Xenopus tropicalis: one gene and its partners. The main gene of each other region encodes a partner of the protein of the gene in region 2 in a complex. Links are inferred from orthologs where the notes say so. Each region holds a gene or a part of one and is shown on either strand. Other genes may lie near its edges.

Region 1 (7,880 bases), on a different chromosome or scaffold from region 2:
CATTAATGGCTTAATATAGGAACCAACTGCTATATCCCCCACATAATTCTGATACAACCAGTTAAATGCGTGGGGTTTTTCTATGTTTCACAAACTCTTCAGTGTTTTTGGATATAAAGTATATATGTACATTTGTGATTTTCTATATAATACCATACATCATAACTTTTCTCATCATCAGCATACTGTGATGGTTACTGTGGTTAGCATTGCTGGTTTGTAGCAACAGGAGTCCTAAATTTGTTTCCAATCTGGACACAATGCAAGGAGGCTGCATGTTCTTCCTGTGTCTGCATGCATTTCCCCTGGTACTCTGGTTTCCTCTCTTATTCTAAATGCCATACAGGCCAATTATTTGTTTTCACGTGAAACTGACCCAACCGTGTATGTGTAAATGTGACATGGACTTAGATTGTGAGATCTATTGGGAAAGGTACCAATTTTAAATTAATAATGAACAGTCTGTATAAAGCACTGCATAAATGTGTCTGTTCTTATTGAAGAATAAAATAATTTATTACTGATAATAAATGAGAGAAGACATATTATTTTAAGCAGCTGCTCTCAAAAGGAAAATATTTAAATGCACTGTGGATATTACATTTGTTCTGCGGGATATAATGTGGGCAAATGTCCAGATCTGTTTAGCTATATTTGACAAAACGTGTAACCTATGTCATTTTTATGTAACCAGAGCAATCAGCAGAAAATGATTATCATGATAATCAATTATACTAACCATTCCTCAGATATTAGGGCCATATTTAGTATTTATAAAAGCACAAACAAAATGTTGACAAGGCTCACCTTCCTTTATGTTGCACCACTTCCTTTGGTGAAAGGGTTGAATAAGACAAGGGTGGCATTTTCCAGTTGAGGTTGCCTTTCAGTTATTCCCTAATTGCCATGGTCTGTTTTTCCTGATAAGGCTGGTTCACTTCCCTTACATAGTTAAGTGCTGATGTGTTTTCAAATGTATAAAGTGCTTTTTTCTAAGATGCTACTGCTTATTTTCTTTCAAGTCATTTTTATGTGATCATTTTACTCAGTTTGATTTACCCTTTGCAGCAGACCCTTCCTTGTAGATTTATTACAGTCATATTTGTTTTGTCTCACAGTTAATTCTTTGGAAGATTACTTTATACTTTTCAACAAGAGGCTAGAAATGATTATTCATTTCCTTCATCACAGGTGACGTTCTTATTTCCATACCTATTTTGCAAAGCTCTCTGGGATTAACTTTCTCTGAGCATTTTCCCAACAGCAGCAGCATATCTGTAAGTTGGAGCCATCTGGATAGTTGCTATGGGAACTAAAGAGATACCATGACAACGAATAGGGTTTCCCAGGAAACCTTTGTTGCTATGGAAACTGCATCACTGGGGTCAGAATTAGTAACTTCCGATGAAAAGCAAGTCCAGCAGTTTAATCTTCTGGCATGTAGACCTGTTACACATAACATAATCTAAGGACATTCTGAATTTTGTTATGCTGCTTGGCACTATCATAGACATAAAAATGCAGTTTCACTGCAACTTTATAATATGTAAAAGCAGCTTTAAACAAATTTTTTACTGAGTGTTGATCTACTTATACATTAAAGCAGAAACATCTGTGCTGTTCTGTCATAAAAAAATAGAACAGAACAATGCGATTTTTCTGCAGGGATTAAGGACTTCATCTTTTTTTAAAAAAAAAAACATTGTAAGCAGGAGCCAAATAAGAATGGTTAAATTGAATCATATTGCCCTCAGAAGGATGCCTGAGAAGTAATTAGCAATAAGGTGGTGTTCCTTATGCACTGATATTTAAGAGCTAAGCAGCAGCACTTAATTGAGAGAAAATGTAAGACTTAGCAACCCGCTCCCGCTTTCTTGCAGAATGTTAAAATAAAGGCGATAGATGGCAGCTCCCCGAAACAGCAGCTGAATCGCTGGCTGTCGCTCACCAGCCCCACACCAGCCCCACACCAGCCCCACACCAGGCTGCCGGCACCGTGTATTTAGGTGGAAGCGCTCAGAAAAGAAACAATGAGAGGAACACGCTGATGCCGATGCTACAGTGACTTTTCTAGTTGCTGTTGATGTATTCACTTGGCAACAAGTGTCTCGCAGTTACACATCGGTAAAGATCTTCTTGATATTCACACAGTTTGGGTTGTTTGTTGTGCAGTTGCCCGTTTTGAAGGCCGGCTGTTTAAAGGGCCCCGGGCTGACCCCTTCCTCTATGACCATATACTCTGATTTGCTCAGTGAGGAGTTGCTCCGTGCCTTCTTCAGATCCTCATTGGAAGACAGGTGCTGGCAGCTCCCTACGTGCAGGTACTGAGCCTGCTCCTCTCCCTCCGTCTCCCGATGGTAGAAATAGTTGAAGTTAGAGACGATGACAGGCACCGGCAGGGCGATTGTTAACACCCCGGCAATGGCACACAGAGAGCCCACAATCTTTCCCCCAATGGTGACAGGATGCATATCACCGTATCCCACAGTAGTCATGGTGACCACCGCCCACCAAAAGGCGTCCGGGATGCTATTAAACCCAGAAGAAGGGTCATCAGCCTCTGCGAAGTAGACTGCGCTGGAGAATAAGATGACTCCGATAAAAAGGAAGAAGATGAGCAGCCCCAGTTCCCTCATGCTGGCCTTCAGTGTCTGCCCCAGGATCTGCAGCCCTTTGGAATGCCTGGAAAGCTTGAAGATCCGAAAGACTCTGACCAACCGAATGACTCGGAGGATTGCCAGCGACATCGCCTGCTGCCCGTTTCCTTGGCGCTCAGCCAGCTCAGTCCCCAGGGTGATAAAGTAAGGGATGATGGCCACTATGTCTATAATGTTCATAATGTTCTTACAGAAAGTGGCTTTGCTCGGGCAAGCGAAGAACCTGACCAGCAGCTCGAATGAAAACCATATGATACACAGGGTCTCCACCACGAAGAACGGGTCGGTGAAGGAGCTGCTGATGTACGGGCCGGTGCCATTGCCAGGGGGCAGAGCCGTTCCGCTGTATTCCTTGTCGTCTCGGAACTCGGGCAGCGTTTCCAGGCAGAAGATGACAATGGAAATAAGGATCACCAGGACGGAGACGATGGCGATACCCCTGGCAGGTCCGGAGCTCTCAGGGTACTCGAAAAGAAGCCATACCTGCCTCTGAAATTCATTGGGGGGAAGCGGCCGCTCCTCTTCCCTGATAAAGCCCTCATCTTCTCTGAACTTCTCCATGGCTTCTTCCCCCAGCTCGTAGAAGCGGATCTCTTCTGAGAAAATGTCTATGGGAACGTTCACCGGTCTCCTGATCCTGCCGCCCGACTGGTAGTAGTAAAGGATGGCATCGAAACTGGGGCGGTTCCTGTCAAAAAAGTATTCGTTCCGCAGGGGATCGAAGTATCGCATCCTTTTCTTGGGGTCGCCGAGCAAGGTGTCGGGAAACTGGGCTAAAGTCTTCAGCTGGGTCTCAAAGCGAAGGCCGGATATATTGATCACTACCCTCTCACAGCACTCATGGTCCTCTTGCTCGTAGGCTTCGCTAGAGTGGTGCCCCGGCAGGGCAGCCGCCTCCTCCAGGATGTTATCACACGCCACCACAGTCATGATCTCCTGCTCCAAGTCCGTGTAGCCTGGGTTAACTATGTTCGAGTTGGTTCTGTGTCTGGTGGAGGATGGAGGAGGCGAATGCAGGAGACTGAGGTGCTCGTCCATAAAGGTGAGATGAGGGGTTGGGCGGGTAGGAGAAGCGCGGTGGCCTCCTCCTTCAGCCCACTACATGAGCCGCAGGCTCCCCTCCCAGCTCTCTCTGGTAGAATCTTGTTGCGTCTTGTATATTAAAAGCATTTGCGGAGATTCCTCCTTTTTACCTCCCAGACTATGGAATCTAGCTGATGGAGCGCACACAGAGATATATAGGTCTCCTTCTGCCATCCCTTGCTCCTCCGACCCCTCCTTTCCCGCCAATTCCTTCCCGCCCACAGAGAGCGGGCAGCTACCACCTGAGGGAAGGAGGCAGACAAGGATTGTGTGTGTGAGGAAAGGGGCTCTTGTAGCTCTGTCTGCCTAAACCTACCCATCCATCAGCATATCTGTATTCTATTCCTATGCCCAACTCTATGGCTGGATAAGCATAAGGACAGTCTCTTTTCTGTCATCATTCTATTATTATTTATTAACATTTATTTATAAAGCACCAACATATTCCGCAGCGCTGTACAATAAGTGGGTTTCATACATTGGACTTACAGAGTAACATATAAAGCAAGCAATAACCGATACAAGAGGTGAAGAGCTTACAAGAGAAAGGGTTGAGACACAGGGTGTTCTATCTACAGGGGCTTATAGTTTTCACTTAAAAAAAAGTCTTCAGAAAGAAGTTAAATGCTATTTATAACATGATATCCTTATAAACTAAATGCTGCAAGAATCTGTTCAGGATGTATTTAAAAACAGTGATGGGGGAATTGGCCCTTATTTAAGTGGCACTATCTTTAATTTGGGGGGCAGGAAGGGGCAATGGGCACACACCAGGCAACAGATGAGAGGGGCAGAATACCTGAAAGAGCTATAGCTTGCACATTTATTGTGGGAGATATCTTGATTGGCTATGTTGTGGTTGAGTGCAATGCTCCTAATTCCTTTTCAGATATTTGCGCAAACATTTTTTTGTGCACACATTTTGAAATGTGCTCAGGTCAGCATAAATGCAAAATTCTTTATGCAAACCATTTGTTGTGTGCACTAGCCTTTAAACTTGACAGAACTTTGGTTGAGTGTAAAGGTCCCCATACACCTTCAGACATCGCCAAGCGAGTGGATCTTCTCCCGATATCCCCCACCTACGGGTGGGCAATATCGGGAGAATCCAGGCTAATTCAATCGTTTGGCCCTGGGGATTGCGGATGAGCCAATGCGGTCCCCGATCCGACTAGATTTTTTAACCTGCCCGATCAATATCTGGCCGATTTCAGGCCAGATATCGGTCGGACAGGACCGTCGGTAGTGCCCATACATGGGCCGATTAACTGCCGAATCGTTTTAAGGGACTGATATCAGCAGCTAGAATCGGCCTGTGTATGGGGACCTTAAATATAAAAAAGTAAAGGGACACAGAAACACAAATAGAGGGACATGATTTGGCACAAATTTTGGTTTTGCCTACTTTGTAATCATCCGGAGTAATGAAGCATTAGGTACTCCAGCAGTTTATGATATACACACTGTCTATTCGCTGTTCCTTCTTGACATACTGTGTCCCCAAGCATTTCAAGGCACAGTCTTCCCCTAAACATTTGATGGCATAGTCTGGCCCAGGCATTGCGGAAGATGATTTTGGGTGGGGAAAGCTGGCCTGCCTCCCCCCATCAAGTAGTACAACTGGGCAAGATAGTAAAATTATAGTACAGCTAGCAAAACAGCGAATTTCAGCTCAAAACTGGATTCTCTTTGGTAGTGGTTTTCAGAGTTTCTGGTAGGAGCCAACCCACTACCCACATAGGCAGGTAAGATGAATGAAAACACTTGTTGAATCACAAACTTAAACTGGCCATGCACAGCAAGATCTTGGGACAGGACCACATCAACACCCTGATGCACTCCTTATCCAACAGGATTCTTAAACCTTACTGACTTACTGACTGTGTACAGTATGCCCACATTAAGCCAGGTTATGACTGAATTAGGCCCAGGAACCTATTTGTGTCCTTCTGTGCTCAGTAACAACCCAACAATAATATCAGAGCAGATTTTATGAAGTGGAAAAAAATATACATTAGCACATTTATTTAAAAGTCAATACCATGATGTTTCATTTGATGCTTGTTAGGAGCAACCCTATCATGCTACATACATTTTCTAAAAAGTTGCACAAGAAGAACCTATAGAAGAAGATCACTGCACAGAGCACTTACAGAAGTACGCCAGGCTGTTGCAGTTTTCTGCTACTCATAAGCACCCACCCGGGGTATCAGGTAAGTTATTATAATCACTGGGGGCTGCCTAACTGATTTTTTTTTGTTGTAACTTATAATTTTATTTTTTCAAAAAGAAAGCAAACAGTAAATGTACAGCTTATACAGTCGTTCTTATAAAAATCAACATAGTAACAGTATGGTTCGGTTCATATAGTTATCTTTTGTTAGTCTACACATTCTACACAAATAGGGTTTATGCCTGACTGGTTGTGCCATCAGATTTGTGTTGTACTGTGCATACCAGGTTTTAGAGACTGATAGATACAGGTGGAGGGGAGAAATAGGGGGAAAAGGTACAAAGAGAAAACTGGGGTTGACTGGTATTCACTGCATCTAAGTGCCCTGTTTTGTAGTTAGGTCATGTTGGAGAGAAGATCCCAGGGAGACCAGATTTTAACATACTGGGTATTTTGTTTTGTATACGGGCCAGTCTGTATTCAAATTGCATGGTATTATTGATTTTTCCGTTTATTTCTAGGATAGAGGGAATGCATGGGAATTCCATTTAGCTGCTATGGAGATGCAGGTGGCTGAGAGTATCTGGTTGACAAGTTTTTGTGTAGATTTTGAGAATTGTTTGGAAGGTTTCCCCAGAAGGAGGATTAGGATATCTTTATCAAGCGTCTGAGATGTAACCTGCCGTATGAGTGTTAGAATCTCATCCCAGAAAGTCTGTATCTGGGGGCAAGACCAGAAGATATGAGGCAAGTCAACTGATTTTTATTGTGTTGGGTTGAAAAACCCAACATACTGTTCTTTGACATATTCTTGGCTTATTCTTCCACTTCTTTGCGCCCCCCATTTTCTTAATGCTACTCCTTCTACAGTTTTAGGGGTACAACACCCAAACTCTCCACACTTCTTTGCCCTATAGTGTAGCAGGTTGCTTGTGCTTTTCTAAGCGATTGCGCCCCCAGTTGTTTTGTGGCGCCGCTCCGAACCCCCCAATTTTCCCTTTGACTTTGACAGGGAAGATATTCAAACTGCTGCCACACTTACAGCTTTGAAGCTACACTCCCCAAACTTGAATAACATAATCATGGGGTCACCCCGAATGAAACAGCGACTTTGTTGGATGACCCCAAAGTTGGAGAGGCCAACAACAGCCAATAAAATTTTATCCATTGACTTGGAAATGGGAAAATTTAAACTGCTGCCACTCTTACAGCTTTGAGGCTACACTCCCCAAACTTGAATCACATAGTCATGGGGTCAGCCTGAATGAAAATGTGATGATTGTTGGATGCCCAAAAATGGGCGGAGCTGTGAATAGCCAATCATGTTTTACCTATTGACTTGGCAGAAATCCATCCTGCTGCCATTCTCACAGTTATAACACCGGGGTCCCCAAACTTTGCAGGGTTAGGCACCAGGTAACTGCGGTTCAAGGTTAGAAAAAGTGGGTGGAGCCACCAACAGCCCAAAATTTTACCTATTGACTTTCAATGGGAAAATTCAACCTGCTGCCATTCTCACAGTATTAACCCCAGGGTCCCCAAACTTTTCACAGTTGGTCACTAGGGGACTGCAGTTTCAGTTTTAAAAAAAGTAGGCGGAGCCACCAACAGCCAATCAGATTTCACCTATTGAATTTTATTGGTTTGATGCCAGGGTTCCCAAACTTTGCACAGCCAGTCACTGGGTGACTATGTTACAAGTTTAGAAAAGTGGTTGGGGCCAACAACAGCCAATCAGATTTCACCTATAGACTTCTTATGTTTAAATTTAAACTGCTGCCATTCATTAAATATTAATACTAAGGTCCCCAAACTTTGCAGAGCTAGTCACCAGGTAACTGCGGTTCAGAGTTAGAAAAAGTGGGTGGAGCCACCAACAGCCAATCGGATTTTAACTTGATTTTCAATGGGGAAATTCAACTATGCCTGACGAAGGGGTACGCCCCCGAAACAATGCTTTTTGAATA
Region 2 (7,126 bases):
TGTCTTGGTAGGGTTACAGTTGAGCCATACTCCTTCCATTTCTGAATGATCACTTGAACAGTGCTCCGTGGGATGTTCAAGGCTTTGGAAATCTTTTTGTAGCCTAAGCCTGCTTTAAATTTCTCAGTAACTTTATCCCTGACCTGTCTGGTGTGTTCTTTGGACTTCATGGTGTTGTTGCTCCCAATATTCTCTTAGACAACCTCTGAGGCCGTCACAGAGCAGCTATATTTGTACTGACATTAGATTACACACAGGTGCACTCTATTTAGTCATTAGCACTCATCAGGCAATGTCTATGGGCAACTGACTGCACTCAGACCAAAGGGGGCTGAATAATTACGCACACCCCACTTTGCAGTTATTTATTTGTAAAAAATGTTTGGAATCATGTATGATTTTCATTCCACTTCTCACTTGTACACCACTTTGTATTGGTCTTTCACGTGGAATTCCAATAAAATGGATTCATGTTTGTGGCTGTAATGTGACAAAATGTGGAAAAGTTTAAGGGGGCCGAATACTTTTGCAAGCCACTGTATATACCCAGTATCTTCTAATAGCTGGATAACATGATAGCAAACAGTACTATGTAACACGCTGCCTATGCACTTTTTCCCCTAATTTCCAGCTCCTTTAATGGCAGAGATGCACAAAAGAGAAAAATCTGTCACAGAAAACTTGCAGGCTACATCAAGAGGGGCTCGAGATATCTAATTACAGTAATAACCTTAATGGTCCCAAGGGTCCCCCTGGGAGGAGAAGAGTAAAGCTGGCCATACACGTGGTGATCTCACGATGTTTCGTACGACCGTCGGTCGCACGAAACATCGTCAGATCCGCCACACACCATTCAGGGCTGAATCGGCAGGTAAGGAGGTAGAAACAATAGGATTTCTACCTCCTTCTGCCGATTCAGCTCTGAAGGGAGAATTTTGGTCAGGCGCCTTCTATGGCACCCGATCAAAATTTTCTAACTTGGCCGATCGGCGAGCCGACCGATTTCAGCAGCTTCCTGCGATATCGGTCGGCTCGCTGACATGCCATACACGCACCGATTATCGTACGAAACGAGGTTTCGTACGATAATATCGGTGCGTGTATGGCCACCTTAAGGGACAGATTTATCAGCACTCAAGATGTTTTGCACCAGCTCAACTAAAAAAAAAAAATAAATAAATAAATGTTACCTCTGCAGATTTTTTTAAAAAAGGAATCCTACAGTTGACATCCCAGAATAAGTGGGGTTTATATATTTATTCAATATAAGCCTGAAAGAACCTAATAAAACTTATAATAACTGTGAGAAATGCTCAAGCTTAAAAGTGCAAGAAAAATACTGGATTTCTTTTTTGTACAAAAACCCTAAAAATCAGACAGATATCTATCTGTTGGCCAGGTTTAAAAATTCTGTCGGGGGGAGTATATATAGGTGTAATGAAATGACCAGTGCAGCTTTATATAAAGTTCTTGTATCCCAAAGTATAAATAACAGACTGTTTTAAATATAAAATTAAAGGAAGACTGAGGTCAATCTTACCAATTTTGTGAAAAAGCTCTGGAAGTTGTACTTCTACTTTTTCCCTTTGAAACATATGATATTCTGCTTGTTCACATATAGGAGGAATGAGATTGAACTGGCGAGCTACGGAATATGCTTCCTGAAATGAAAAAATGGAATTGTGCTTTTAGAGACACTATATCAAACTATTATAAATGCGCAAGAAACATGCAGTTTCCAAACCAAAGAATTTTTAGAGGTACTACTATGTACCATCTATCTATGCATTACTCATGCATTTGTTTCTATTACTACCATGTACCATCCATTGTTTTGGTTCATTGAGCAGAAACAGTTGAATTCTAGCGGCACTAATTTATAACTAGGTTCAGAACAGTTTTGTAGTTGCACTAGACCAGACAGAGGAATAACCAGATGTGTGTGATGGCCCACACTGTCCAATACATGGTCAGATCCAATCTAGTTGCAGTCAGCTGAAATAAGTCACACAGAAGGCAAACATAGTCTTTGGCCAGTACGTGTTTGATTGTCAGCCAAATAAGTTAAGTAAGTCCAGTTGGAATCTAGTTAATTCAAGGCATATTCCAAAAACTTTGCCAATTTTGTACCTGCAAAATATTAGTCTAGTTTAAAATTACCCAGCATTACAGTGTGTCTCATCTGTACCTGGAATCTCTCCCCTAGAAAGAAGCAAATGCTAACAAAACAACATCATTTCATCTCTGTGTTTATCGCTTCCTAATGTATAAACATGGCATACAGCTAATAACTACTTATGTATGTATGTGTGAAGTGTACCCAATGGAAGAAATCTTACAAGTGATAAAGTCTAAATTAAAATCTATGACATCTTTGTGTAAAAGAAAAGAAAGGTTGAGTAAATATTTCTATTGCTTGCTTTGATCAAACAAGTGAATCTGAATGTCTTGTTTGCTCATATTTTATTCTGCCGCATGGTAAATAAATGTTCATTCAACTCCAAAAATAATTACTTGGAAATACGTCTTGAAGCATTTAGCTCTAACATGCTCTTGTCTGCTTATGTTATCATCATTTCTGGTTCTTTCTTTTAAAATAATCAGCATGTATATTTTTTCGCCAAGAGGCCCATCCTGCTCCAATTATATGTTGTGAGCACAAGTCTCTTGCCTAAAACTGTTCTTTAAAAGCCTAATCACACAGACTGTTATGTAGTATATTTTAAAAACTTGTATATTCATTCATTGTACATACAGCTACTATATGTGAGATCTTTGTCAGTAATGGATGAAAGAATAAATGATGATAATGATGAAGGGAAAGCCTTACCATAATTTCCATAGAGCTCCAACGTGACGTCCCCCAGTACATTGCCATTCCTTGATTAATCACATGAGTCATGGCTCTTACGGTTTCTGTTAAGACAGAAATGGAGGGAAGGCAGGAAAATAAGGACACAATTAAATCTGAAAACAATATTATCAACATGCAGATGCTAAGTGTACAACACCAAGAGGGGAAGTATGCTGCAAGGACATCTTGCAAGCAGTGTAATTCATCTCCTTCTATCTGAAAGGGCTGTTTATTGCACTTGAGGGAAAAACAAGACTTAAATGATACTTTTCCAAATCTCAAGAATGAGCTGAGCCATGACTAAGAGCATTTCAAAATGAAAGGCAAAAAAAGAAACCCATCGTTATCCCTAAGATGAGCTATTTTAGTTCTCAAGCTTATAATGAAAATGTGGAAACTGACCTTGCCAGTCAACTGTAATTATGTAACTATGCAGTCTGATGATGTGTACAGTATGCAGCTAATATCTCACACTCCCTGACTACATATCTTCTGATTTTGGGGGGAAATGTGGCCACATATGTGACTATATAAATTGCCCTGATCCATTTAATCAGTTTGTAAGACAATTACAATGCACCACCAACATCCAGGTCAGCCAATGATCCCATTCATGAACGTATTGCAGTACAGTCAAACTAACTTTTGGAGATCATTTCATGTGCTCACACTAAATTTGATCCTCCAGAATTAGGGTCCCAAATTATATTAAAACAAGCAAATATGTTAACTTGGTTGTTCTGTGCGTGACCACTTCTAAACTGAACATATGTCATACATGTGAACTATGCCAAATAACACAAATAAACAATAGGTCCTTTCAGAACAAATGCAGTTTAATTTACTGAAGGTCTGACAAAAATGCTCACTAATTCTTAGTAAATGCCAAGAATTAGAAATATATTCTTAAAACATATAAGACAGCTGAACGAGCAATGTTGAATTGGACCTTTCTGATGCCGAATGGGCTTTTTAAATATGTCGCAGTAAAAGAAGATTTACAATATGGTTGAATAAATAATATAAAGAATTTATAAAGTCAAGTGAGTTGATAAAAGCAGACAGCAAAGATCTCAACATGGGGCTGCAGAATTCAATCCTTCATAGATTTAGTTTTATTTGTGTAAAAAATAAATACTGCACTGTTCTATTGCAAATGGTTAGATTGTTCCCACAGTGTGTTACAGCATCTCAAGAAATCATGGTGGTTATCTTTTAGAGAAGAAGGAAAGCTCAAATCCCTGGTGGGGGGTTCTACACTGTAAGGCTGATTCTAGTTGCTTAAGTCCTACCCACTCCTGATAATCGAAAGGATCAGGATTATCACCTCCTTGCAATGTAAAACTACAGTATTTGCACCATTTGCTATTTTCTAAGCTGCGTCAAAACAGAAAAATATGCATGACCTAGTCATATCCTGAAAGAGATTTGCAACAGAATGCTTTGCACACTTTTAGAAGAAATTCTATTCTCAAATAGGTTAAAAATTATGAGCTTGTGAAAAATAAAAAAAGTTAAAAAAATATTTACAATAAAAAAACACAAACATACACCCCTTGCCCTGTATAAATGGAACAAATAATCAAACTCACAAAAATGTTTTTGGAACAAGGACAAATTTTGGAATATTAGTGTGCAAATAGTGGTGATTCTGCTACGTAACCAAACTATATAAGGCGATACTAGACTTTCATAGAAGCCTGATAGGTAACAAAGTTCCAGCCAAATGAAGACACTAGCTACTCAGTGTATCGTAATTACCATCAAGGAGTTTGATACAAAAACCTTACTTGCAAAGTAAACATGGAATTATGCAACTGTAAGCCTGTATTCATGCAACCACAAAATTTACCACTCAAAACTGTATGGAATATTTTTTAACACTATATATTCAAATACAAAGTATCCCACCCCACCCAAAAATATCTATAGGCAACCATTTTAGTGGCAAATGCATAACCCAGTGTTCCCATCGACTATACCACTACAAATACTCTGGCATGCTACCGTCTACACAGACAGTTACATTACAAGAAGAAAAAAAAAAAAAAAAGATTAAAACCTCTGATTTTCGTTTTAATAACAGCAAATCTCCCTTTCTTTTTGCTATGCGCATATTATATATATATATATATTGAACTTAATTTCTTTAACCTGTGGTCTATATAAGGGCTACACTAAAATGTGCAGGGAGTAAAAGTCACATCAGAAATAAAGCTATGCTATGCTGTACCCAGTCTTTACATTAAAAGGTACAGAAATAGGTGAGCTAACTGTATGTAGCTCAGAGCTATTGCTGAAGGAAAGTTTTAAAACTCAATGACAGCCACAAATAGGTCAGTGTCCGCCACAATAAGAAATACATATGGAAGGAGAATTTTTTTTTTAAAAGAATTCAATTCTTGATTAAATATTATTTAGGCATATGTAGATTAGAAAATCGTATAAAAAGGGACAAAAAATGTGCAATAAAGCGCGTCATGAAAAAATACACCAATTAGGAGCTATGATAAATATATCCAAATGCATTATCTTGAAGTCAGTCCCAAAAGATGCCCTCCTTAGTGACAGGAAGGGTTATAGTTAAACCGATATTGAAAAACGTGAATATGCAGATATTTCAAATGGTATCTTCTTACATATGTTTAAGTCCTGCAGGAATAATACTTTTACATGGGGGAAGGGAATGTTATGTAGAATGTTTATTTAAAATAAGTTCAGTCTGTCCTGCTACGTTATTTGATAATATAAGCCTGTGACCTTTTAGAGGACAATTTACAAGTTGTGTTGATGTTTTTGTTTTTCCATAGTAACTGAAAAATTTTAAGTAAATGCCTGTTTGTGCATAAAAGGAACGAAAAGCACAAAATTCCGTTACAGTTACTACACAATATATGTGGAAAAGAATCTGATGCAGATTATTGTAAGTTTTATGGATGTGCATGGAGGAAAACTACAGAAATCTACTCTACAGTGCTTGCAAGGCATACTGCAAAGGCTTTTCTCTACTGAAACGTATGGGAAAAAGTGTTTCTAAGATTCCTTCAGCAGGAGAATCCATTATTAGCTTTTACACAAAAAAAAATAAAATAAAAAAGTATCAACTTGAGCCGTCAAATTTACAAGAATTAGCTGGTGGTCTATAATCAGAGGATTTTAAAAATGTAATTATTTGTATGCACTTTGTGCTTCTTCAAGAACAGTCAGATTAAAGTTCGATTTAAGCAGGAAACAAATTGTTTTGTGAATATTAAGCATGAATTACATTTTTTCTCTGCATCTTGAATAAGATATTGGCTTTAATTTTAGAAACACTTTAGGGAACCATTTCTCCAAACTCATATCATGCAGCATCCCTTTTTTGTGTTTAAAGGGTCTCAAGCTATAAATCCATGCCAAAAGAGAAGCAAAACATCCATACAAAGCCTTACATAGGCGCATGCGTTTTCAGAGAAACCAGCTAACAAGGCTCTTAAAATTCTCAGTAGAATACAAGTGTGTTCATTGAAATAGACTGCTGGGCACAAGAAAGGTTAGTTGCAAGCACAGTGAAAAAGTTGCTACTACAACTGGGCAAATACTTTCAAAATCAAGAACTTAACTCCATATGATGGTACCTGAGGTCTGTCACTTGCACAAGTAATTGTTTACTATAAAGAGGCCCTTGTACGGCCGAAAGGAAAAATAACTGGATATATGGTGGTGGCAAAGAGTAAAGCAGCTTACATGCACTCCACATATGCAGTTACATTTCTCATCTGTATTTTAACTGTGATTCAATATTAATAGACTTATGAACGCAATAAATATGTTTTGCCCAACTGTAGAGTGTGTGTCCGAGTGTGTGCCTATTTTCTTCAAGAAAAGACTTCTATGCATTTCTTGGAGATCAAAAAGCATCATTGAGTATTCTCTTCACATGACAGATGAGCTGGGGCTGGTAATGTGCTTTGGAAACAGGATACAAAGTCAACCAAACAAAACACCAATGATGCAGAACGAGTACAGTATTTGAATAGACATCAGATCAGTCTATTTAATTATATTAATCATGCAGAACACATTAAAAAAATTAGGGTAATGATAGGAGACAAATCAGGGCATTGGGGGGGGGGGGCATGATAATTCAAAGGGTTGTAAAATGAAATAGAACTTTACTTGCAAGATGTTCTTATGGGGCATTTTCTCTATTAAGCATTTTATGGACAGTTTTGGGAGGGGGGGGGGTAACACTTGTATGGTATAGATAAATGTACATTATCTTTCCCATAA
Region 3 (7,695 bases), on a different chromosome or scaffold from region 2:
TAAGTGCCTTTGCACGTATATGTACATTCCTTGCTGCAAAATATACCCAGAAATAGCTTTAGTCTCTTAAAATGTACAATCAGTATGTCCCTTTTCCTGATTTGACCTATTTATTCCTATAAGGAAATTTTCAAAATAATACCTTTAAAGAGTATAAATACTATAAACATGGACACAGCTACACAGATAGCTGATAATTTTTTCGGCTAAAAAAATATGTGTGCGCAAGAGAATGTGTTTAACTATATTTGTGTGCATGCAATATATATTCATGCATCATTCTTAATTGATACAATGCCTTATACATCGAATGTCAATCGGAGTAGTTATTTTTAGAAACAATATTACTAGCAGGACATCTCTAAACCTGTAAGAATTAGAGATCTGTGGAAGTTTATGCTATAACATACAACCCTTCCAAGTAATATAATTGGAATGAGTCAAAGTCATTTTTCATCAGATAGGGATCATGACGCCTTATGATAACAGGGTATTACACACATATTCTCCACCTGCTAGACAATCACTGTCAGAACAGATAACATGCATGCACTTATTTTACATAGGACAGGCGTATATGTGCAACCCTATATTTTAATTTTGTTTACAGTTCCACTTTATTTAGTCCTGGTTTTACTTTATGAATTGTTGCTGTGTCCATTATAGGCTACTTAGACTTATGTGCCACTATCGTTCTTCATGCATTCTTGTATGAAAACTCGCCCTGTCTTATATATTTAAGACCGGTTGTTGATATTGTGGCAGGCCTAGCTGCAGACCAACCAGCTTTAAGCATTTAGATAGGTGGTACTGAATATACTAAATACACACGCCAAAGCACATATGAGTTCGGGATTGCCATTGTGTCACGTTTCTGCACAGACACACTGCAATGGCAGTGAAGCAGCTTTCTGTCTTAGAAATCCTTCTTGCTTTAAAAATAATATCAGCATTTAAATATACAAATACCATAAAAATATATGTTATTCGATAAAACTCAGAAGGCCTTTTTTTTTAATAGCAATTTAACCCCTAGGGGAAATATATATGCATCTCCTGGGCATTGCACCATTGCATTACCATTCGATTAAGACCTAAAGTATCGGTATCCAAAGGAACAAACATTAAAGCATGAAATGTCATTTCCTGGGTTTTACATAGGTTTCTAAAGTGCAAAAAAATAGTTTTTCTCATGAGGTCTCAAGCTTATGCATTTTAGTACTGACCTGCATGAGTTTTTGACAGTGACCTCAAATTACATCTAACGTGCTCGTCTTTGGGAAACAATGTAACCGCAGTAATGCTGCCAATAGATATTCTGTGAGTTATAGTCAAGTTAGGAATGCAGTAAGACATCACTTACACAGATATTGCTTCCCATGCAGAACTAGCACACCTAGAAATAAGACCTAGCGTATTATTGCGTTACACAGACTCTGAAACTGTCCCAGACACATTTGTGGTGAAAAAGTCACTTAAACATCAGTTAGCATTTTGGTTATATTAACATAATTTGTGTTTCCTAATGTGCAATTTGCAGTTTTTAAGTTCTTCTCTCTAAAATCTTCATTGCTATGATTTACCCCTTCTTGAATTTCCATGTAGTCCGATTTACTTAGAGTGGAGGCACTTCTGCTCTTTTGAAGGTCAGGGGATGAAGGGATCTTTGGACAGCTGGTTACTTGCAGATATTGTGCTTGCTCCTCCCCCTCTGTCTCTCTATGATAGAAGTAATTGAAGTTGGACACTATGACAGGGACAGGTAAGGCAATGGTTAATACGCCTGCAATTGCACACAGAGAGCCTACTATTTTGCCACCTATTGTTGTAGGGACCATGTCTCCATAGCCTACTGTTGTCATGGAAACTACAGCCCACCAGAAGGCATCTGGGATGCTGGGAAACTGAGAATCTCTCTCATCAGCTTCAGCAAAATACACTGCACTAGAAAAGAGAATAACACCAATAAAGAGAAAAAATATTAGAAGTCCCAATTCCCTCATGCTGGCTTTCAGAGTCTGCCCCAAGATTTGTAGACCCTTTGAATGTCTAGAGAGTTTAAAGATCCTAAATACTCTAACCAGTCTGATAACTCTAAGAATTGCTAAAGACATTGCTTGTTGGCCCTGTTGCCCATCTTCCGTTTTTTCTGCCAACTCTGTGCCTAGTGTAATAAAGTAAGGGATGATTGCAACTATATCAATGATGTTCATGATATTGGTAAAAAAGCCAGCTTTACTAGGGCAGGCAAAGAAACGAACCAGAAACTCAAATGAAAACCAGATGATGCACAGAGTCTCCACAATAAAGAAAGGATCTGTAAAAGTATTTGACTTTTGATATCGAACTGTGCTATTGGAGTACGGGTAGTAATTGACTCCACTTCCATGCATGTCTTCATTTTCATCTCTAAAAACTGGTAAAGTTTCAAGGCAAAAGCTGACAATTGATATTAATATAACCATAACTGATATGATAGCTATAATCCTGGCGGGTCCTGAGCTCTCAGGGTACTCAAACAATAGCCACACTTGTTTTTGATATTCATTGTCTGGTAAAGGGCGTTCTTCCTCTTTAATAAATCCTTCATCTTCCCGGAAGATTTCCATGGCTTCTTCACCAAGTTCATAGAACCGTATTTCTTCTGAAAATATATCCAAGGGCACATTTACTGGTCTCCTTAATCTGCCACCAGACTGGTAATAGTATAAGATAGCATCAAAACTTGGCCTGTTTCTGTCAAAGAAATATTCATTCCTCAAGGGATCAAAGTATCTCATCCTTTTTTTAGGATCCCCTAGTAAAGTTTCAGGGAACTGAGACAAGGTTTTCAGCTGAGTCTCAAACCGCAGTCCTGAAATATTAATAACCACTCTTTCGCAACACTCATGGTCTGGTTCAGGGTCATAACTGTCCTGCGGGTGACCTGGCAAAGCCGATGTTTCATCTGTCGGATCTCCAGTTGCAACGGTCATAGCTAGGGGCCAGATAAAAGCTTTGCTTGGTATTTTTGGCTGACTGTTGGCAGTGGATTGCACTCAAGCACTCTGGAAATATGTGCAGTCAAGATCGTAAAAGGTTTCTGGAAGAGATGAGAAGTATACAGCTTCTCACCTAAAAAAGAAAAGAAAATTATTATTTTGTAGGGGGTATGTTTTAAAGGTGTTCTGTGGGCTATAATATTTATATAACAATTTAATACTTTATATGACATGGTCTTGAATGAATAACTGCACAAGGAAATCCCTAACATATATTTCATAAATTCAACAGATAGATGGATGGATTGATGATAGACTGACAAGTTGTTAGATAAAAAGAAAACAAAAGCTATAGCTAAATAGCAGATGATAGATAGATAGATAGATATATGATAGATAGATAGATAGATAGATAGATAGATAGATGATAGATAGATAGATAGATAGATAGATAGATAGACAGACAGACAGATAGACAGACAGACAGATAGACAGACAGACAGAGCAGTAAAGAAATAGATACTGCACATGTGTATGTATGTGCTTATGTTACTATTATTAGTCATGTTTAAGATCATACTTTTACAGTATTTGTTCCCTCATCCTGATATCAGTTTTCTTATCTACTTCCAATTGCATTCAGTCTCTCAAGGGATACAAGTATCAGCATTCCAACAATCCAAGGACAAAGGAACAATTAAATGAAAGCTTACTTAGTGAATACAGTGCCTGTCTGAAATGAAATGTCTAGAAGGCATTATCATCCAAAGAGAAGATTTTAGGTTAATATTTGTGGTTATTCACTCTAGGAATAATGTCTATGCCAGAGAAAAAGAAAACGTTCTCTGGGTTTTGTAAATTGTTAATATATTAATTGCACTACTAATACATTACACTACCAATCTCCATATTAAGTATGAGCATAAGCCAGTGACAATGTTATACAGGTTTAGGATCCATTATCAGGAAAACCTGTATCCAGAAAGCTCCAAATTACGGGAAGGCCATCTCCTATAGACTCCATTGTAATCAAATAATTCAGATTTTTAAAAACGAGTTCCTTTCTCCTTTCTATAATTTATCCCCATTAGAGGCGAAACAATCCTTTTGTGTTTAATTATGATTTTTTAAGGTATGGGGGTCCAAATTACGTAAAGACCCCTTATCCAGAAAACCCCAGGTCCCAAGCATAATAATAATGGGATAATGGGATAATGGATAATGGGTCCCATACCTGTGATACTATTATCCCTATCATGCTAATCTTATCATCTATACTTCATAAAATAAGAGACAGGGCAGTGTTAACTAACAGATATAACACATCATTATGCTGTACTGTGGTTGTAACAAGTCTCCTAGTGATTAATCACAGCAACAAATGCCAAATCTTTGTGCCCAAATAAAATTGATCAAGGTCCCTAAAAAGCAGCTGCGCCTACGGACACAAGAAATGCTGCAGAATAGCAGAAGGGAATTCATGCAAAAAACAAAGATGCAATAACAATTGAATACAAATGAATTACCTTCGGAAGCAAACCTCGAGGTTTCTTAGTAACAAGACAAAGCTGCTCCAGTGCTCCGGGAAATGCAAGACACAAAAACAGGGTATATTTCATCCTATAAATTGTTTGTCCTAAACATAAAAAAAATAAAAGGCAATTTTTCTAAAATGAGAGGTGTCCTTGGGATGACACAACCATGCTACTGGAAGGGCAGGATTGGGCTCACAGGCTTACTTGTAAACAGATATGCTTCTGTTTAAAGCATATAATATGCTAGATGGTAGATGCTAAGCTCAGCAAAAAAAAAAAAAAAAAAAAAGACTGCTTTGGTGTCCTCAGGAGGTGTGACGTTGCCTGGTAAGAAAGAGAAAAAACAGGAGCTAGGTAAGGCTGGTACATCATGAAACATCTGCAGAGACCCAATTTCCAGATGCAGCAGTCACAGCCTCCCCCAGCCTCCCCCATTGCCAGCCTGTTTTATGATGCCTCACTATTCTGCACTGCAACAAAGCAAGAGGCAGCATTCAGAGCACATCCCACATAACAGGGAAAGCTACTGAGATAAAACAGAGGGTTAGGGCATTGTAGAAGGAAAGCTATACAGTGTTTGATGCCTAAAGGTTTAAAAGGTGGGGCAATGCCAGCCCAATAAGAAAGGAAAATATAAATGTAGACACCATGCAGACAGAATATCATGTAAAAGAGCTTGCTATAATTGTAATTGCAAATACTAGTTTTATAAAAGACACACACACACACATACACAAATATATATATATATATATATATATATTTGTATATATATATATTTACTTTGTATAATATTTTGAAATAGACAGTAAAAGACATCCTGTGGCTGTGCTGCACTGACACAATATTTAATTTAAGCTCAGGTTATAGATGGACAGCTTTCTCTTGCGTGAAGGGGAAAGTCCTCTTTAGGTTCTTTCTGGCGTTAAAAAGGTTAAAACTCAAATTCCCATAGACAACAGTTAAATCAGAGATGCTCTCAAGTTTCCATGGTGTAATGCTAAGCCAGTGTCATATAGCAAGCCCAACACCCATTCTGTTGTTTGGGGATGAGGTTTATCTCCACCCTATTTGCATGAAACAGGCTTGTGCCTCCTGCCCACCAGGTCACAGGAGACAAATGAAATGTGTATTCAAGTGTATTCTGCATGACAAATGACCTGCCCGATTATCAAGGCTTGAATCAATTGGATACCTTTACTGACAGCAGAATGCAAGCCGACATATGATCCATTATAAAAGAATCTTAGCAAATCTAATATTCCATCTACTGCATTATTCACCCTTGGCGAAACAAGTGCCAACAGGAACAGCATCACGACTACAGCAGAGACATTTTAACCATAGAAACCTCCCGTGCAGTAAACACTATTGTGTGTGTGTTTTTTTCCCCTTCATACAGCTGAGGTCATGGAACTGACGTTAGAATAGGGAAATCCCAAATTCACCCTCTTCCATTTAGCATGTAGCTACAGGGATTCCTGGGAAAGCCTGCTAAGCATTGATCTGCAATACAGTTCACAACAGGCTTAATCTTAAATGTGCCGCGCACACACATATTCAGGCTCGCAGGTGTTAAACCCAATCCCTGTCTGTACAACACCTACATAAACAGCCCTGATTTCAGCAGGGATTATACAATAAAAAATGGGTCAGGTAGGGGCTTCTTGTCTGCTGTTTTTAATATCTACGATTTAATTTCTGAATTGATCCTTTATTTCATTATTGTGCAATAAAAGAATGCTTTTCCTACTTATATGTTTGTTCCCAGTGGAAATTCTCCTTAAATAATGTGAATGCTGGAAACCCATTTCTCCTCCACTTACCTCCCTTTCCATTACATCAGAATAGAAATAGAACATTCCTTGTGCAGCTCCTCTCACAGGAGGCTGAAATGTCTTTTTTGGAAGCATATTCTGCCCTCCCTACAAACTCCATTACATGAATCACATATCCAGACATGCAGAATTAGCATCATCAATAAAAATAGCAAGTAAAAACCAGAATCATCAATATTTAATATACCCCCTACTGAAATAAACCATTTCTATATGCCTAATATCAGCCAATGGGGAGGGCTGATATTAGGTTGAGTGTTAGATCTTTCAAAACTGTAGAACCAGCTAGATATGTAAGCTTGTTGTTTCATGACTTAAAAAAAAAAAAGGCTAGGGCTAAATCTTGAGCGTAGGATTTAGTTTAACCAAAATATATACTCACATTTTAAGTGTTCCTAAATAATTAAGCAGCATTGTGATGCTGTCCTCTGAATGAAGCATCTCTTGTGCAGCCCCTGTTCGTCTTTGTTCCTTCCCCTGCTGCTCTGTGCCCCGGGTTAAAGGCTCCATGCATCTCACATCTACAGTATAACAGCCGTGAAACCATAGCTTGTCTCCATCCATGCAAATAAACCTCATTTCATCTCAGCAGCATGCACAGTGTTGATGACAATGGGCCACACTGCAGGCAATTTGCATTCCACATTCCTCATGCTGTTATGTATCTATATTTTATAGGCTACGGCAGGTTAAAATACTGCATGCAATGAGTAAATTGCCATATCTGATTTACCCTTTTCATTCGGTATGTGAAGCATCCATTTTCCCAGTTTGTGGTAAACTCCACTTAATGGGGGAAAGGCGAAGCTTACAATTGGTTCTGCAGTAAGGCATGCAGTGCATACATAAAGACCTTACTGCACTGTGGCATCGCTTGTCTACCTGACAGCAGCCTGGCGACATCAAACATAGCTTTCACCTTCCCACCAGATAATGTTATGCAGTATATCCTGAATATACATGTACAGGTATAGGACCTGTTATGTAGAATGCTCGGGACCTGGGGTTATCCGGATAAGGGGTCTTTCCATAATTTAGATCTCCACACTTTAAATCTAGTAGAAAATCATATAAATGTTAAATAAACTTGATAGGATTGTTTTGCCTTTAATAAGGATTAATTATATCTTAGTTGGGATCAAGTACAAGGTACTGTTTTATTATTACAGAGAAAAAGGAAATCATTTTTAAAAATTAGAATTATTTGCTTATAATGGAGTCTATGGGAGATGGCCTTTCCGTAATTCTGAACTTTCTGGATAATGGGTTTCCAGATAAGGGGTCCTATACCTGTATTATGATTGAAGGAAGGAATCAGATCATGTTATGGTTTTAATATAA
Region 4 (7,848 bases), on a different chromosome or scaffold from region 2:
CCCCCCCTTCCCCCTCATTGCCTTTTGCGGTCAGGCCGCAGCCCCTTTTTTTCTGGCGGCAAAAGGGTTAAAGAAAACTTATCCACCCCCTATCGTATGAGGTTTCACATTTCAGGCATGCAAGATTACCAAATAAATACAGTTGGTATCAAATTCGAAAAAATCATGCTTATGACAAAAACAAAAAGATTTTGCATCCAAGTTGTGAAAAAAAAATACATTTAAGTCAAATCCATCTGCTTTTTAAAAAAAAAAAAAAAAAAAAAGTATTTAGCAGCAAGGCAGATGTTTGTCCTTTGTGTTTTTTTAAGTATTTAAATTTTAAGTCCCTCTACTTTTAAGATGTAGCAAAGTCATGAATTGGTTCATAAGGTGCTTTTATGGATCTGTAGGTCATCGTTAAGTGCATAGTCATTCACTGGAAAGTTATACACTTCTTCAGATCAATAACAAAAAGAAAAAAAAACAGCAAGTGTTTGCATACTTCATCTTAACCCTTTGATTGAGAAGTACTTCCTTGAATGCAGTGCGTGGTTGGCTGACATCTAATAGAACTCCATGCATATCTGTTAACTTTTAGTTTCTCTGTGATGATTGGTTGGAATTTAGGATTAACAGGCAAAGGGGGTTTTTTTTATTGTATTTTTTTTTTTTTTTTTTTACCTTGCTGTTCAAGTTGCATTTAATTCTTTCCCTATTATAACTGGATGTGGAGTGGGGTGTATTTCCCACGAACCAGTTTAGAAAAAGAAAATTCCATTTAAAAATAAATGACTTTTTTTTTTTTAACAAATCCTGAAAGCTTTTGTGTTCACTGAGTGTAAACTCGCAATGCAACAAAGCATTAACGATGGCAAAATTAAGCATTCAAGACTATTTGTTTAAAGCATCTACAGAAAGAAGGGCCACCATTGGGTTTGGAGAAGGGAAGGTGGGTAGGTGGGGCCCAGTAAAATGGGAAGCCCTGAATATCAAATCAGCATGTTTTTTTAAGTCATGTATTGGGGGGTGGGCTGCTCCCCTAACTTGTACTAGGCCTCAGTATTTTTAAAGGTTAAGTTGATGGTGGCCCTGCAAAGAAGGAAGTGGTCATGATCATTCTGTAATGGGAGTGTGCTCTACACATCTGTAAGCAGCTTGCTTTTGTTAACACAGTTCTGATTGGCTATGGTGCAGTTGCCAGTTCTGATATTTGCCTCTCTAAAGTTATCTATGCTATTATTTAGATCCTCTTCAATCTCCATGTACTCAGATTTGCTCATTGTGGAAGAGCTGCGTCGACTCAAATCACTGTCAGAGGCTAAATTGGGGGTGCTAACATGGAGTAACTGAGCCTGTTCCTCCCCTTCAGTTTCTCGGTGGTAGAAGTAGTTGAAGTTGGACACAATGACAGGTACAGGCAGGGCAATTGTCAGCACACCAGCGATGGCACACAAGGAGCCCACGATTTTGCCTCCAATTGTCACAGGGTACATGTCACCATAGCCCACAGTGGTCATGGATACCACCGCCCACCAGAAAGCATCAGGGATACTTGCAAAATGAGATTCATCCTCTTCAGCTTCAGCAAAGTACACTGCACTGGAGAATAAGATGACCCCAATGAATAGAAAAAAAATTAGCAACCCTAATTCTCTCATGCTAGCTTTCAAGGTCTGTCCCAAAATCTGGAGGCCCTTAGAATGCCTGGAGAGTTTGAAGATTCTAAACACTCTTACCAGTCTGATGACCCTCAGGATTGCCAAAGATGTTGCCTGCTCCCCTTTTTGGGGACCTTCTTGCTCTGCCATTTCAGTTCCCAAGGTGATAAAGTAAGGGATGATGGCCACAATGTCAATGAAGTTCATGATGTTCTTGAAGAACTCCGGTTTGCTGGGACAAGCAAAGAACCTCACAACCAACTCAAAAGAGAACCAGATGATGCAGAGGGTCTCCACCACAAAGAATGGATCCGTGAAGATGTTGGACTTGTAGAAAACTGTGCTGTTGTTCACCCGGCGACTAAAGATCCGCTCATCCTTTAACTCTGGTAAAGTCTCCAAGCAGAAAATAACAATTGAGATAAGGATAACCATCACTGACACTATGGCAATGATCCTAGCTGGACCAGAACTTTCGGGGTACTCAAACAAGAGCCACACCTGGCGTTGGAACTCTTTTTCTGGCAGAGGGCGTTCTTCCTCTCTTATGAAACCCTCATCCTCTCTAAATTTCTCCATGGCTTCTTCACCTAACTCATAAAACTTAATTTCCTCTGAGAACATGTCCAGTGGAACATTGACAGGTCTCCGGAGTCTACCCCCAGACTGATAGTAATATAAAATGGCATCAAAACTTGGACGGTTGCGATCAAAGAAGTACTCATTCCTCAGGGGGTCAAAGTATCGCATCCGTTTTTTGGGGTTCCCTAGCAGAGTGTTGGGGAACTGAGAGAGAGTCTTAAGCTGTGTCTCAAAGCGCAGCCCGGCCACATTTATGACCACCCTCTCACAGCATTCGTGGTCATCTTGGTCTGGATGGTAGCTGTCCTGAGGGTGACCAGGCAAGACTGATGTCTCGTCCATATTCTCCCCTGCTATCACGGTCATTTTTCCAGAGGGGAGGGGGGAAGGAGGAGCTGGTAAAGGTAATCACTTTGCTACTGCAGCACCCCTTCTTCTTAGAGAAACCCCCTGTTTTAAAGCCCACCCCCCCAAAACAACAAATCCTTGGTGGTACAGCTGGTCTCTAGTTGACGTTGGGAGGAGATTGACTATCTTAAGACCCAATGCAGCCAGTCCCCCCCCCCTTGCCTTGCAGAAATCTTGCCACAGACCCCAGCCACCAGCACTTTTCGTATCTAATTTGTATTCCTTCACTCCTGCTGGTCAGTCCTACTGTGAGAATGTATCATTGCTGCTCTGTCACAGTCCCCCAGCCATGCAGTGCTGTAGGATGGAAGCTACAGGGTCTTTGCCAACTCAGCACTTTTTCTCTTGCCTTCCCCTACTGCTTGTTGTCAGTGTTAGGCGAACCAGTGGAACACGCCAGTGCGGTAGGAGACTGCTGCAGGGAAATAAAAAAAAAAAAAAAAAAAAAAGAAAGAGAGTGGACAGGGGAAAAAAGAGAAAAATAGGAAAAATAAATAAGAGCTCCCTGTGTGTCATGAATAAGATATCATGCAAGGCAACACTTACAGATGGGTGCAAGTTCTCCTCCAGGCAAAGCACTGTGCGCATTCCAGCACTGGGATAACTTTGCGCTCACACACACACTTACAGGCTGGAGAAATCACTTTGCTGCAGTGCATGGATTGCATGGGGGGTGCGGGGGGGTGAATAGAGGCAGAACCTAATGGGATGCTTACCTTCCGTGCCGCGGAGCAGGATGAAAGCGCTGAGGGAGCTGAGAGTGATGCGTCAAGCCTTGCGGCATCGGGAAGGCGCATGCAGAACACCCACTTTTTTGCGCCCCTTTTAACACCGAGATCGGTTTACAGGAGAGCGAGCATTAAGTCCTGCTGAAATATTCATATGGCATGCTATGGGGACCGATTCGAGTTAATGAGCTGCTGCTGCTGCTGCTGCTACTGATGATGATGATGATGTTGCTGATGCTGCTGATGCTCAGAGGGATAATAGGGCACGGTGCGCCGATTCCATCCTCTTGGCGGGGTGCAGCGGGCAGGGAAATGCAGGGAGTGGGGCTGCCCGATCCCAGGGAGCTGCAGAGCAGCTGCATTCCAGGAGCTGAAGTCAGAACCCCCTCTGGAGCAGTGATGAGTGTGGGATTGGGAAGGCTGAATACATTAAGAGTAAAAAGCAAACTCTGGCCATTTATTGACGTTGCAGGCTCAGCAGAAACCTGAGAGCTGTTTGGTGCAGCCAGGCAGGGGACAGATCAGCCTCCCTGGGCAGCAACACGGCCATTGCTAGTACCCAGAGCTGAGGGGAATGAGCAGAGAGCAGCAGCCTCCCTCTGTTGGGATCTGATAGTGAGACGCAATGCAGGCAGATCCCCCTCCATAGGCTGGAGCTCCAGCTACTATATTAACCATGGGCTCTTCCAATGCATAGAGCCAGCATCATGCTGCCCTGTGTGTCTGCTGGGAAAGGAGAGGAGGGGCAATACTCTCTGACTTGTGTTTATACACAGACCCTCAGGCATCAGGGCAGCATTGCCAGGTAAGTTTTCTGCATCCCGTCTTTCTACAAGACCAGCCTATAAGCCCCCTATAACCATGCCATGACCCCCACCTTCAACCAGCATATACCAACGCCCCCTCCAGGACTGTCAAATATCAGGGTACGCCCACTCATTACAATTAATGCCAGTGCTCACTCCCCCCACCCCCCAACACCACCAACACCAAACAGCTGTGAGTGATCGCCCTTATCACCCTTTCCTGCCCCCCCCCTTACCCACCAAGCAGTGCCAGCAGCCTGACCGTCTATATTTCATTGCTACATCACTCATACACTGTTCCTGTTTAGGGCACCATTGCTTACATGTGCTCTGTGCCACATACCCTATGCAGGTATCCTCCCACTGCCCACTTAATGCCAATACTGCCCCCAGCTTAGCTCACCCTCCCACCCAATGACTGTTCTGAGAATAAAGGCAGTTTATTATTAATGTGAGCCCAGCAGCCCCAAGTCAGACGGGATACCTGCTGCAGTGTCACACTGATCTTGTTTGTCTCTGCTCACATCCCCTTACTATGTAGGTTAGTAGATCAGCTGGGGCTAGAGGAATAATGGACAGCAAGGCAGCAGCACATACCTGAGCACAGCTAGGTAGGTAGCACTTGCCTGGGCTGTAGAAGGTCTTCTCCCATGAGATGATGCCAGGGGATGCCAGCACAATGAGTGCCTATGTTGTCTCTCAGCCTCATTCCCCCCTTGTTCTGCAATACTTCCCTCCTGGTAGGCTGCAGATGTGCTGCATGCAGTATGCCTTGGCTGGAAAATAATAGTGACAGCCCTATATACTAGCAGTCTATGCTCAAGGGATGCAGGGAGTCTGGAGATGGACAGAGCCTTGTGCCAAGAAGTCTCATTAATGCCATGAGCTGATCCCATGAATAAGGGAGGGAGGGGGACAATATGCAGAGCTGCCTGATCATAAGTCACTGTAATATTTAAGCAGTCCCAGTCACTTAGAAAAAGGGCCTTTATCATTCAGATCTATACACAGTCCCATCCGGCATCCCAAAGGCAGAATATAATAATTTGCCTTTGGGTTTCACCTTATCAGTCTTCAGAGCAGGAAATCCTTTCCACTGCTTTGGGCCCCACTAGGAGGGGTAGACCCATATTTTAGGAACCACTGTCCTATAGACTCTTAACTATACTCTAGCTAATAGAGGGTTTGTTACAGACATGTTACATACCGGTAGCCCATCAATATACATTTTAATTTTTCAGTTTCCTTTTCATGTTTGCATTGCCAGGCAGGAATCTGCCGTGTGGATGTTGTTATACTTCAATTCCTAGCATCCTACTGATGGCTTGTAGTACAACATCACTTGGAGTGCTGTAGATTACATACCCCCCCCCCCCTCCAATATTATTGCAGTTTTGCCTAGCTGAGAATTGCAGGATTTGTGATCTACAAGCCTGACTGCCAAGCTTAATGTTTCAAGTTCTGAAAATCTGACTAACAGAAGGGCAATTATTATTGGAACACTGGTGGTCTTTATAGCAGTACAGTTCTTGGCCCCGAAGCTCTTATTTCATATTCATAGTGTGAGCTGTAAATTCTTGTAAAGGCTTTTAAATGACTTGCCTTACAGACAGCAGCCAACATAAAGACATATACAGAATATAGGAGCTGCATTGCAAACCTACTGGTGTATAGCTATATTCCATATATGCACTAGTACAACATCGGGCTGGGGTGCATGTGATTTTCCCCAAACACTGGGGCTACAGTTACTTCAGCTAGTTTTGCACAATTCAGTATCTTCAGAAAAAAACACAAACAGTACTTTTATGCCTACTTCAAGGTCATTAATATACAAGTCAAAGGGGGCGATCACAGTGCCGGACTGGCCAGTATACAAGGAAAACTCCCAGTGTCAGTGGGCCCTCCTGCTTCTCACCATTTGGCCTACTTCATGGTCATTCCATATTTCTAAATGGGAACAAAGTGGAAAAATAGATGGAAGAACAGATGCTAACATGTAAATAAAAGAGAATAGGAGAATAAAGAGGTTGGGGGAAGAAAGGAGGAAAAATAATTTGGAGAGTGGGCCTATGGTCTAAGATTTTCTGGTGGGCCCCTGAGGTCTCAGTCTGTAATCACCTTTACATTTTTTAGTAAGTTGTGGAGAGTGCTATTCTGAGACAATTTGCAAATGGTGGGCGATCTACAATTTTGCTCCCATCGTGGGTACTGCACACTGCACATGATCACAAGTCACTACAGAAAGCAGGCTCCCCGCTGGCCCCCCTGTAACCCCAGCCCCCCAGCCATGTCCTGCACCACCTTGTCTGGGTTGGGATGGAGACACCAATGTGCCTACTCCAGCCTGCCCCTCATGGATACAGTGCTGTCAGACATAAGCAGCGCTGTATTCAATGGAGAGACACAGGTCTTCTGGTCTTGTGGGCACTCAGCTCAAAGTGCAAAATACATGTTTTGCCCTATTTTGCACTTTGCACCCTGCTTAGGTTTAGTAAATGACCCCTTTATTGGCCCTTGCTGCTTTTACAAGAAAATAAAAATACATTTAAAGAAAACTCCTGACTCCTGTGTCTTTTTGAGGCAGGGCAAAAAATACCATTTAACTATGCCAGACCCACAAGGATCAGTTCCGTTTGTGCTCACAGCAGTGCACACCGGACATTAGTTCTTCAAAGCAGCTTTTAACACAGCGTGGAATCTCTTAGCAGCATCTGTGTGTCCTGTCACATTAATAATGCAGCACAACAGAATACCTGCAGAGGAGCAGGCCGCATAGTTTTGCACTTTCCAATTAGGCTTTCCGCCGGGCTGTGTTAATCTGTCATTGTGTTACCGTTGTATTATGTGCCGGGCCTGGCGTTTGGTTCAGCCCAACGGAGCAAATGTAGCCGCATCCCTTTCTTTTATTTATTCAGTGATGGCCATAAGGAATGGCATGCTGTGCAAGGTGCCTCTAGGAACAGATGGTCTGGCACTTCTAGCCGATGCCTCAGTATGGCAGCTTAATTTCTTTTTTTTTTCCCAGAAATATGATCTTAACAATAGAGTAGGGATTTCCTGTTTCCCATTGCTGTCCTCATGGTGAACTGAGTGCATCACTGTGCCTAGTATCACCTAATAGCACCCGCGCAAGGCCACAGCACCGGAGATATCATCCTATACTCTTCATTGCATAGAAACATGTATTTCTAAGTATACATGTAAGTCTAGTCTGTTTTTAATGCTGTTTAGCTGCTAATTGAAGCAGTATCTGCCTGCCCTCTTCTATTGTTAGGCCGGGTGATTCTGACTCTTGAAACAATGTAGCAGAAAACACACATACTGTAACTAAGTTGTTGCATGGACTACAAATCCCAGAATACTTGAATGTATTATCAAGAATAAAGGTGGACCTACTGTTGAAAAATTGTTTTCCCTACCACAGCCATTGGGCTACAGGGAACCATGATAAGCAGGCTGCAATCTCTAGTCCAGCAGTACCAGAGTTGTAGTTTTTATGGGACATTAAAAACTACTGCACAATTTATTCAGTTGTTGTGCAACTACAAAACCCACACTTTGTAATATATTATCAAGGTTAAGGCGTGCTGGGAGCTGAAGTCCATCAACATCAGAGTTGTATTCTCAAAGCAATATTTTTCAATAAACCTTTCCCCAACTCTCAAGGGCTCACAGCAAAAT

What was found.
Region 1: the proteins of kcnab2 (region 2) and kcna3 are in contact, whole or in part, in a cryo-EM structure (PDB 7EJ2), measured with the Homo sapiens proteins. The link is inferred for Xenopus tropicalis from reciprocal best matches to the Homo sapiens genes KCNAB2 and KCNA3. Residues at the interface, in NP_001186789.1 of Homo sapiens: Met196, Tyr199, Ser200, Arg203, Glu231, His234, Lys235, Ile236; in NP_002223.3 of Homo sapiens: Pro133, Met137, Phe140, Pro142, Leu143, Asn145, Tyr147.
Region 3: the proteins of kcnab2 (region 2) and kcna2 are in contact, whole or in part, in a crystal structure (PDB 5WIE), measured with the Rattus norvegicus proteins. The link is inferred for Xenopus tropicalis from reciprocal best matches to the Homo sapiens genes KCNAB2 and KCNA2. Residues at the interface, in NP_059000.1 of Rattus norvegicus: Met193, Met196, Tyr199, Ser200, Arg203, Glu231, His234, Lys235, Ile236; in NP_037102.1 of Rattus norvegicus: Asp28, Glu33, Pro62, Met66, Phe69, Asp70, Pro71, Leu72, Arg73, Asn74, Tyr76.
Region 4: the proteins of kcnab2 (region 2) and kcna1 are in contact, whole or in part, in a crystal structure (PDB 1EXB), measured with the Rattus norvegicus proteins. The link is inferred for Xenopus tropicalis from reciprocal best matches to the Homo sapiens genes KCNAB2 and KCNA1. Residues at the interface, in NP_059000.1 of Rattus norvegicus: Met196, Tyr199, Ser200, Arg203, Glu231, Lys235, Ile236; in NP_775118.1 of Rattus norvegicus: Glu37, Met70, Phe73, Asp74, Pro75, Leu76, Asn78, Tyr80.

The regions. Positions count from the first base shown.
Region 1 is NC_030678.2:52,492,080-52,499,959, reverse strand, and holds the start of kcna3 (potassium voltage-gated channel subfamily A member 3), read right to left. Parts: upstream 4,010-7,880; 5' UTR 3,696-4,009; coding exon 2,115-3,695; 3' UTR 808-2,114; intron 1-807.
Region 2 is NC_030683.2:98,481,923-98,489,048, reverse strand, and holds part of kcnab2 (voltage-gated potassium channel subunit beta-2), read right to left. Parts: intron 2,917-7,126; coding exon 2,831-2,916; intron 1,662-2,830; coding exon 1,541-1,661; intron 1-1,540.
Region 3 is NC_030678.2:52,550,340-52,558,034, reverse strand, and holds the start of kcna2 (potassium voltage-gated channel subfamily A member 2), read right to left. Parts: upstream 5,243-7,695; 5' UTR 4,508-5,242; intron 3,115-4,507; 5' UTR 2,976-3,114; coding exon 1,476-2,975; 3' UTR 1-1,475. UniProt on the Homo sapiens protein: Voltage-gated potassium channel that mediates transmembrane potassium transport in excitable membranes, primarily in the brain and the central nervous system, but also in the cardiovascular system.
Region 4 is NC_030679.2:19,193,462-19,201,309, forward strand, and holds the start of kcna1 (potassium voltage-gated channel subfamily A member 1), read right to left. Parts: upstream 4,194-7,848; 5' UTR 3,347-4,193; intron 3,046-3,346; exon of another isoform or gene 3,043-3,045; 5' UTR 2,589-3,042; coding exon 1,119-2,588; 3' UTR 1-1,118. UniProt on the Homo sapiens protein: Voltage-gated potassium channel that mediates transmembrane potassium transport in excitable membranes, primarily in the brain and the central nervous system, but also in the kidney.